Ovis aries: one gene and its partner. The protein of the gene in region 2 purifies or fractionates together with the protein of the main gene of each other region. This does not show direct contact. Links are inferred from orthologs where the notes say so. Each region holds a gene or a part of one and is shown on either strand. Other genes may lie near its edges.

Region 1 (4,056 bases), on a different chromosome or scaffold from region 2:
ACTCCAGTACTCTTCCCTGGAAAATCCCATGGACAGAGGAGCGTAGTAGGCTACAGTCCATGGGGTCGCAAAGAGTTGGACACGACTGAGCGACTTCACCTGACTTCAAACTCTGAAACCACCCAAATGTCTACCAACAACTGGATGGAAAAATGAAGGGTGGTACAGGCATACAGTGGAATATCACTGATCAATAAAAAGGAACTATTTACCATACACAACAACATAGATGAACCTCAATATAATTCTGCTGAGCATAAGAAGCCACACACAAAAGTCCACTTGTATAAAATCCTAGGAAATGCAAACTAACATATAGTGACAGAAAGCAGAAGAGTGTCTGCCTGGCAACAAGGAAGGGATTATAAAGGGTTCCGGGAGCCATCACAGGAGTGACGGATATATTCATTATCTTGATTGTATTGCTGGTTTCTTGAGTGTATAAGTGTGGAAACTTATCAAATTGTATGCTTAAATATATGGAATTTGTGGCATGTCACTTATACCTCAATAAAGCTGGTTTAAAAATAATAAAAGACCTATGATCTGAAAACTAATAATAAATAATCCCCAACTGTGTGCACTGTTGTTGTTGTTATTTAGTTGCTAAATCATCTCTGACTCTTTTGCAACTCCATGGACTGCAGACAGCCAGGCGCCTCTGTCCATAGGATTTCCCAGGCAAGAATACTGGACAGGGTTGCCATTTCCTTCTCCAAGGAATCTTCTCCACCCAGGGATCCAATCTGAGTCTTCTGCATTGGCAGGTGAATTCTTAACCACTGAGCCACCTGGGAAGTCGTGCATTACAATCATTTGTGTGTGTGTGTGTGTGTGCATTACAATCATAATCTGACTTCTTAGGGGGCACATATTTCTCTTCCAAAACAAGTATGGGAGAGCCGGAAGAGGAGAGGAGGAATTACTTCATTTCAAACTGTCATCTTTACCACTTGCTGCTTTGGCTCTTCTCACACTTCCTGGCTTCTAAATTAACAAGCTGGACAATGTAGGGTCTATTACTACCCAGCCCCTACCCCACCCCCAGTCCCCAGACTTTTTGTCTCCTAAAAGAAGCAGATCCTTACTTGTCTGGAAAAGCAGACACAAGGAACAAAAGGCTCAATGACTATTTGACAGATTAAAGAATAGAAAACTGTTTTATTTAAACGCTCTCTAAAGAATTAGAACATCTGAGGCTATACGCTGTTCTGCTGAAATGCAATTATATATTACCCAGATCTGTAAGCACTTGCCAGAAGACCTGTCCAAATCACTCACTGCTTGAGTTTTCAGTTTTCTCCTTTCACTCTTTTCATCCCATCAATGAATAATGTGCAGGTGTATTTCTGAGAAGACATTCCTAATGTTTTGAAGTTTCTCAGTCAATAACCCCAACAGCTTGAAACAGTTTTCCAAATGTCTAAGACAGTGTGAATTCTATACAGAATGACAATACAATAGCAGGATCATTATCTGAAAACAATCAATCATACTAATATTTAACAACAAAATTAAGGCTTACAAATGATTGGCAATAGTTATAATAGCAATTAACAGTGGGGTTCTGTCTCCACCACTTACTGATTGAGTGACCTTAGGCAAGAGTCGGACACGACTGAGCGACCAACACTAGCACTAGAACTACTAGGCAAGTTGCTTAACTTCTGAAATTCATTTACTCTCTTTAGAGCGGGATAACAGTACCTACCTGATAGGGTTATAAGGATTAAATGTGTTTGGCATACGGTAAGAGCTAAATAAATGTTAGCAATTAGTAGTATAGTCTACTATACTACTTTCCAAGGATCTCATTAACTCACTCATCTTCCTTCTGACTTCTAGGTTCAAACCCTGTCATTTACCAGTATGTTTCTTCTGAGCCTCAGTTTCCACATCCGTAAAACGGAGGTAATTAATGTTACCTGACTTTTAAGGTTGTGGTGAAGGATTAAAATAACTAGAGATACGATCCCTTCCCTCCCACCTCCCAAAGCGAAGATCGCAGAGGAAGGAAATACTTCTAATAGCTGCAGATATAGTCAGTTTTTCCATTTCTGGCACGTGAGGGGTGGGGGGGGGGGGGAGAAGAAGATGCAAAGAGGCATACAAAGTGGTCAAGGACCCTGAGTAAAGCCCCCAAATGCGCGCAAAACGCAGAGTGACCCAAAAAGGCTCGACTATCGGCCTGGCCTCGCGCAACTCTCTCCTCTCCCCTCCCGCGTCCCGGGCCGAGGAGCCTCCCCTAAGTGAGCGGGGTTATTTCGGAATCACCATGAGGCAATTCTCATGAGGCAATGGGTCAGGAATGCGGCGCGCCGAGCCGAGCCGCTAGCGTCCGCGGTTCCCCGGGCGGCTCTACCTGTCCCCGTCCTGACGGGCATCCCCAGGGCTGCGGGAGCCGGAACTCCGTGGAGGCAGGAAATGAATGAGGACCCGAGGGGTTGGGGGCGCGCTAGGGCCGGGCCCCGGGGCCCTGGAGGGCTTAGGGGGCTGGAACGGAGCCTGCCCCGCGACCCCGGGCAGGAGTCCGAAGCCCAGCCGAGCCGCCCCCTCCCGGGCGGAGCTGACTGAAAGCGGCGGGGGCCGGGCCGAGGCCCGGGCTAGGCCCTCGGGGCTCCTCACCTCCGCGATGTCATGTTCCTCCCGCCCTCCGGCTCCGCGACGAACCGGCTCCTTACTCAGGCTCCACTGGGCCCGGTCACATCGGGCTGGCCCGAGGGAGGCCCGCTCCGGACCGGACGTGGGGGGGGCGGGCAGAGCCAGCCGGCCGCGCGCAGACCCCCCTCAAGGCCTGAGGAGCCCGGAGACTGTGCAGCCGCCCCCCAAGCCCGGTTCGCTCCTCCTCCTCCTCCTCCTCCTCCCCCGCCCTTCCCCGCCGGCTCCTCCGTGACGTCACTCCCACGCGACGCCCGCCGCTACTTCCTGCTTCCATTCTGCGCTGAGGCTGGTCATGGCAGTTCAGTGGATCTGTGGAGCCTCTGCCGCGCTGTTCCCAAAGGACCTTCTCATTCTCCTTTAGATCCTGGCGTTAAACCGTGCGTTGTGTGCTCAAAGTTACACGCAGTCGCGTGAATTGATTCTAGCTGCTCCCACAGCGTCAATTTCCATCCCTGCGCTGTGAAGTCGAATTTCATTCATTTCATTCCTCAAATAGTTGTTCCACTTACTGCTGTGTAACCTTAGGAAAGAGGTTGGGATCGCAAAGAGTCGGACACGACTGAGCGACTGAACTGAACCTTAGGAAAGTTGATTTCTCTGAGCCTCCATCCTTGATTTCTGTAAAAAGAATAGTAATTGTATTTTCTTCTTAGGATTATGAGGACGATTAAATATGTAAAATGTTTAGAACTAGGCCTGGTCTGTTTAATAAGTTCTCGGTAAAAAATCCGCCTGCAGTGCAGGAGACCCTGGTTCGATACTTGGGTCGGGAAGATCCCCTGAAGAAGGGAAAGGCTACCCACTCCAGTATTCTGGCCAGGAGAATGCCAAGAATTGTATAGTCCATGGGGTTGCAAAGAGTCGGACACGACTGAGCGACTTTTACTCACTCTCTCCTGTAGTTATTGGGGCTTCCCTGGTGGCTCAGATGGTAAAGAATCTGCCTGCAATGCAGGAAATCCCAGTTCAATCCCTAGGTCGGGAGTATCCCTTGGAGAAGGGAATAGCTACCCAATCCAGTATTCTTGCCAGTAGAATTCCATAGAGAAGCCTGTGATGCTATCGTCCATGGAGTCACAAAGAGTTGGACACAACTGAGCAACTAACACTTTGACTTTTTCACTTTTTTTGTGTGTCATTATTAGCTCTATTATCATTAGAAGGAAACGTGAGCGTTTTCTGTCTGCTAGGCACTGATTTTCCACTATAGAGATAAAAGTGAACTGAAAAGACAAAAATCCCCGATATTCTCATGGGAGGAGCTACAGTAATCGATAATAAATAAAACAATTGAGATAATACCCCCAATACTCATCTCCCTTCTTTTCTCCATTGCCCTTTATATTACTTTAAATGGGGGTATTTAGGGAAAGCTTCACTAAGGATGATATTTGA
Region 2 (4,354 bases):
TTTGGGGAAGGGAGGTCTTATCTTCTGTTCTCCATAAAGAGCAGCTTATACTCTTCATAAAGCATTTATGAAGCTCTTTATCCTAAAGAAGCTCTGTTCCCTCCCAGAGAGGAATTCTAATAGTGGTTTCTTTAATATGACCATGAGTTCTAACCCAGTAAGGTGTAGGAATCCTATCTAGATGGTAAACTCCTTGAAGGTAGATCCTGTACCTTATGCTTCACACGCATTCCCCTTTCCACATGACACAGTATAGCGCAGGGGGCACTCAATATGCACGTGGTGGACAAGTGATTTAAGTTAAATTAAATTAGGAGCCATAGAATGAAGCTTGGAGAAGACTGCCATATACCCTTTGGCTGGGAAATTCCATGGACAGAGGAGCCTGGAGGGCCACAGTTTGTGGGGTTGCAAAGAGTCGGACATGACTGAGCGTGCATGCACATACACAAAATAAGAAGGTCTCAGAAGGAATGCAGGGTCACCTTCTGAATGGCCCAAGGCAGGAGTGGAAGGGAACAATCAATGACCTACTTGGCAGTGCTTTATTATAGCCGAATGGAACCAGAAACAAGGTGTGCATCTGTGCTCTCAGCACCATCTGTGTTCCCATTTTCAAACCACCACTTCCTGTGGCAGGGACTCTGGCTCTTTTTGTTCTCCCTCTTTTTGCTCATATAGTGAGGCCCCTCAGGATGACGATGCTCAGAAATCAGATCAACATTGTTCTGGGGTCCACAGGTCCCGGTCTTTGTCCAAAAAGAATCCTTATCTGAACAGTCTTCTTTAAAAAATAAAAATAAAAAAATCATTAAAAAAAATCTTTATTGAATTTGTTACAACGTTGTTTCTGTTTTATATTTTGGTTTTTTGGCCAAAGGCACATGAGATCTTAGCTCTCCAACCAGGAATCAAACCCACACCCCCTGTACTGGAAGGAAAAGTCTTAACCACTGCCAGGGAAGTCCCTGAACATTCTTAAAGAGGAGACTTAGGACTTTCCCCCTCCGTGGAACCTCTTAGAGACAGCTGAGCAGGCTGGTTGAGAACTCCAGTGCCATTTATGAAGAGTTCTTTGCGTGAGTTTCCATCCTTTGGTCTTCTATTTGATTGGCTGTGCTTTAGACCTGATAACTCGGCAGGTAGCCACGCCTCTAAGGAAAAGGCTGAAGGGCCTTTTTTATTTATCTCTGAAAGTCTGCTGCCACAGAAACACAAAAGTCTCTCTCAAGTCCCCAAATTCTAATTGTTTAAGGGAAGATAAAGAAGAAAATAAAAAGGATCTGAGAAACAAATGTAGCTCACCCCAGGAGATACCGAGATGCTAATATAACGGTCTGAGAGCGCCATATCTCTTTCCGGCCTTTCATGTGGTCTGTCAGCAAGGCTGTCTGCCTGGAGCACATCAACGTGAAGAAGTCAGTCATCTTCAAGAGACACCTTTTTGTTGGTGGCAGCTTCCTCTCAGAATTGGGAGTGGGGGAAGGGTGGTCCCAAACCATACACTAATTTAAGATATGGCGCCACCCAAGTAAAAATTATTACACAGAGTTCTCAGCTTCCAGAAAAATCCCTCACACTTGCTATCCCACCCAGCATTGCGTTGCAGGGACGACTGGGTGTAACCCCTGGGGCCATTTTCATCCTTCCCCGACAAAGCAAGTCTTGTCCAGTCACATGACTGGCCAGCTAAGGACTCCATTTCTCAGCTTCCTGTGTAGCAGGTGTGGCCACGTGACAGGGCTCTGGTCCATGAGAGGGGACAGGTTTCATCCTTCCAAGATTGTTGCCATGTTTCCTGGGTTGGGAGTACCAGGGAGAGGGACTTGCCTGTACACAGAACAGCTAGATGACTCAGTAGCAATGGGAGCTCCCTTTTGATGAGATGGCCTTGTTAGAAAGGGGGAGCCCCCGGAGCTCACTGGCAGGCGTCAGATTTTCCTTCCACTGAGCTAACCTAGACTTGCTGAGCCAACCTTTTGCTAATCTACTGAAAGGGGTCCTCTTTTCAAAATGAGCTCCCAGGGGCATTCCCTCTGAGTTCAACTGTTTAAGGTTTAGTATTACTCACTACTGCACAGACAGAACTATTTCAGAACACAGTCATGAAAGATGGCAGCAAGTCACTCACTGTCCAGTGCTGACCCACATTAACATGACCTAGGAGAAGGCTTGGTAGCATCCTTGGATTTGTTTTTTTGTTGTTGTTGTTAGTCACTAAATCATGTCCAGCTCTTTGGGACCCTGTATACTGTAGCCTGCCAGGCTCTTCTGTCCATGGATTTCCCAGGCAGGAATACTGGAAAATACTGGTTGCCATTTTCTTCTCCAGGGAAATTTCTTGACCCAGAGATTGAACCCGCATCTCCTGTATTGGTAGGTAGATTTTTTTTTTTTTTCACCACTGAGCCACGAAGAAAGTACTTTGTAGTAAAGAGGCTTCATAACAATAGATATGAAGGTATTTCTTGCTGTAAAACACTGAGATAACAAGTGGAATAAAGATGAATATATGATGGAGAGCCTGGACAATTGTTAGGAAAAAAAGATCTTGAAAAACAAATACGTTCTTGTGTGGTTTAGTCTGAGTCCTGATGAGAACCAGTGCTGACATCATGTTACATTTGCTTTCATCACATCATTACCATTCGAATTTTTCATTAAGGAAAGTGAAAAATGTCTCAAGATCACTGTCCTTATTATAGATAACAAAGAGACCTCTAGCAAATCCTCATACCCCACCACATCATCCCAAGACTGGGATTTCCCTCCCTTGAATGAGATCTTTGTTAAGGGAACAACCAGTGCTCTGGCTCAGGACTCATCATCTCTTGATGGGTAACTGCAATAATGGGCCCTCCCCACAGCTAGTTTCTTTTTCTTCTGCTTCTTCCCCACCACAGTCTACTGTCCACACCACTGAAAATTCTCTCTGAAATGCAAAACTAATCACATTATCCTCTGTCTAAAACTATCTATTAGTTCCCATCAGAATACCATAGGACAATACAGAACAAGGCCCAGTTATATCTGCTTTTCTCTCTGCCTTGAGTGTCTTTCTCTTATCTGTTTGGGTAATTTCTATCTATTCTTCAACACCTAGTTTGTGTCACATTCTCCATGATGCTCTTTCTGATTCCCTGAAACAATGTCAATCATTCCCTCCTCTGGGTTAACTTGCACATATTTCTGTTTTGCCCCTATTGTACTACTTAACCTGGAATAATAGTTACTTATAGAGCTATTCCCTTTCTTAAGAGCAAAGAGTGTGTCTTTTTTTTTGTCTTTGTGTTCTCAGCACCTAGCACAACGTTGGAACATAGCAGAATCTCAGTAATGTTTTGTTTGTTGAACCAAGCATGGTATTTTAAAAATCAGTGATATTCTTTTGCAAACCCAAATCAACGAAATAATAAAATTCTGTTTTCCATATTTAGGCAATCTGGTGTACTGAAAATGGCATGCCACAGACTAGCTGTGTGATTTGGTTCTCGAATGCTGTGGTTCCCCATCCCTGGAGGCAGGGCAGGGGATCTCTATTTGTGTTATGGGTTGACTGTGTTTCCCCAAAAATTCATATGTTGAAGTCCTTAAAATGTGACCTTATTTGGAGACTGGGTCTTTACAGAGGTAATCAAGTTAACATGAGGTCATTAGGGTGGATCTGAATCTAATCTTACTAGTGTCCTTGTAAGAGGAAATCTGGACATACAAAGTCGCTAGGGATGAGCATGCAGAGACCACATGAAGACACAGCAAGAAGACAGCCATCTGCCGTACAGGAGGGAGCCCTCAGGAAAAAATCAACCCTTCCAACACTTTGATCGTGGACTTCTAGCCTCCTTTCTCCTGTGAGAAAGTAAATTTCTGTTATTTAAACCACCTCATCTGTGGTGTTTTTGTTATGGCAACCCTAGCAAAGTAATTATAGGTGGGTCCTAATCCAATATGACTGGTGTCATTTTAATAAGTGGAAATCAGGACAGATATACGCAGAGAGGGAAGACAATGTGAAGAGACAAAAGGAGAAGACAGTTATCTCCAAGCCAAGGAGAGAAGCATGGAACAGCTCCTTCCCTCATGGCCGTCAGAAGAAACAACACTATTGACACTTTGATTTTGAACTTCTAGCCTCCAGAACTGTGAGACAATAAACTTCGGTTATGTAAGTCACTGACTTTGCAGCACCTTTTTACAACACCCCTAGGAAATGAATATACAAACGGTAATCCTTCATTAGCATTTCTTATTAATGTACATAAAAATGGACTTATAGACTACTTACTCGGGAAAGAGCTTCAGGAGTTCACCCTTTTCAGTTTACATATAATGAAACAGAGGTCCAAGAAAGTGC

The links. The genes of interacting proteins can lie anywhere in the genome.
Region 1: the proteins of SLAMF1 (region 2) and PTPN11 purify together in Homo sapiens (affinity purification with western blotting; 3 studies listed by BioGRID and IntAct, with this or other methods). This does not show direct contact. The link is inferred for Ovis aries from reciprocal best matches to the Homo sapiens genes SLAMF1 and PTPN11.

The regions. Positions count from the first base shown.
Region 1 is NC_056070.1:61,963,532-61,967,587, forward strand, and holds the start of PTPN11 (tyrosine-protein phosphatase non-receptor type 11), read right to left. Parts: upstream 2,847-4,056; 5' UTR 2,640-2,846; coding exon 2,626-2,639; intron 1-2,625. UniProt on the Homo sapiens protein: Acts downstream of various receptor and cytoplasmic protein tyrosine kinases to participate in the signal transduction from the cell surface to the nucleus. Positively regulates MAPK signal transduction pathway. Dephosphorylates GAB1, ARHGAP35 and EGFR.
Region 2 is NC_056054.1:111,728,893-111,733,246, forward strand, and holds the end of SLAMF1 (signaling lymphocytic activation molecule), read right to left. Parts: intron 785-4,354; coding exon 549-784; 3' UTR 532-548; downstream 1-531.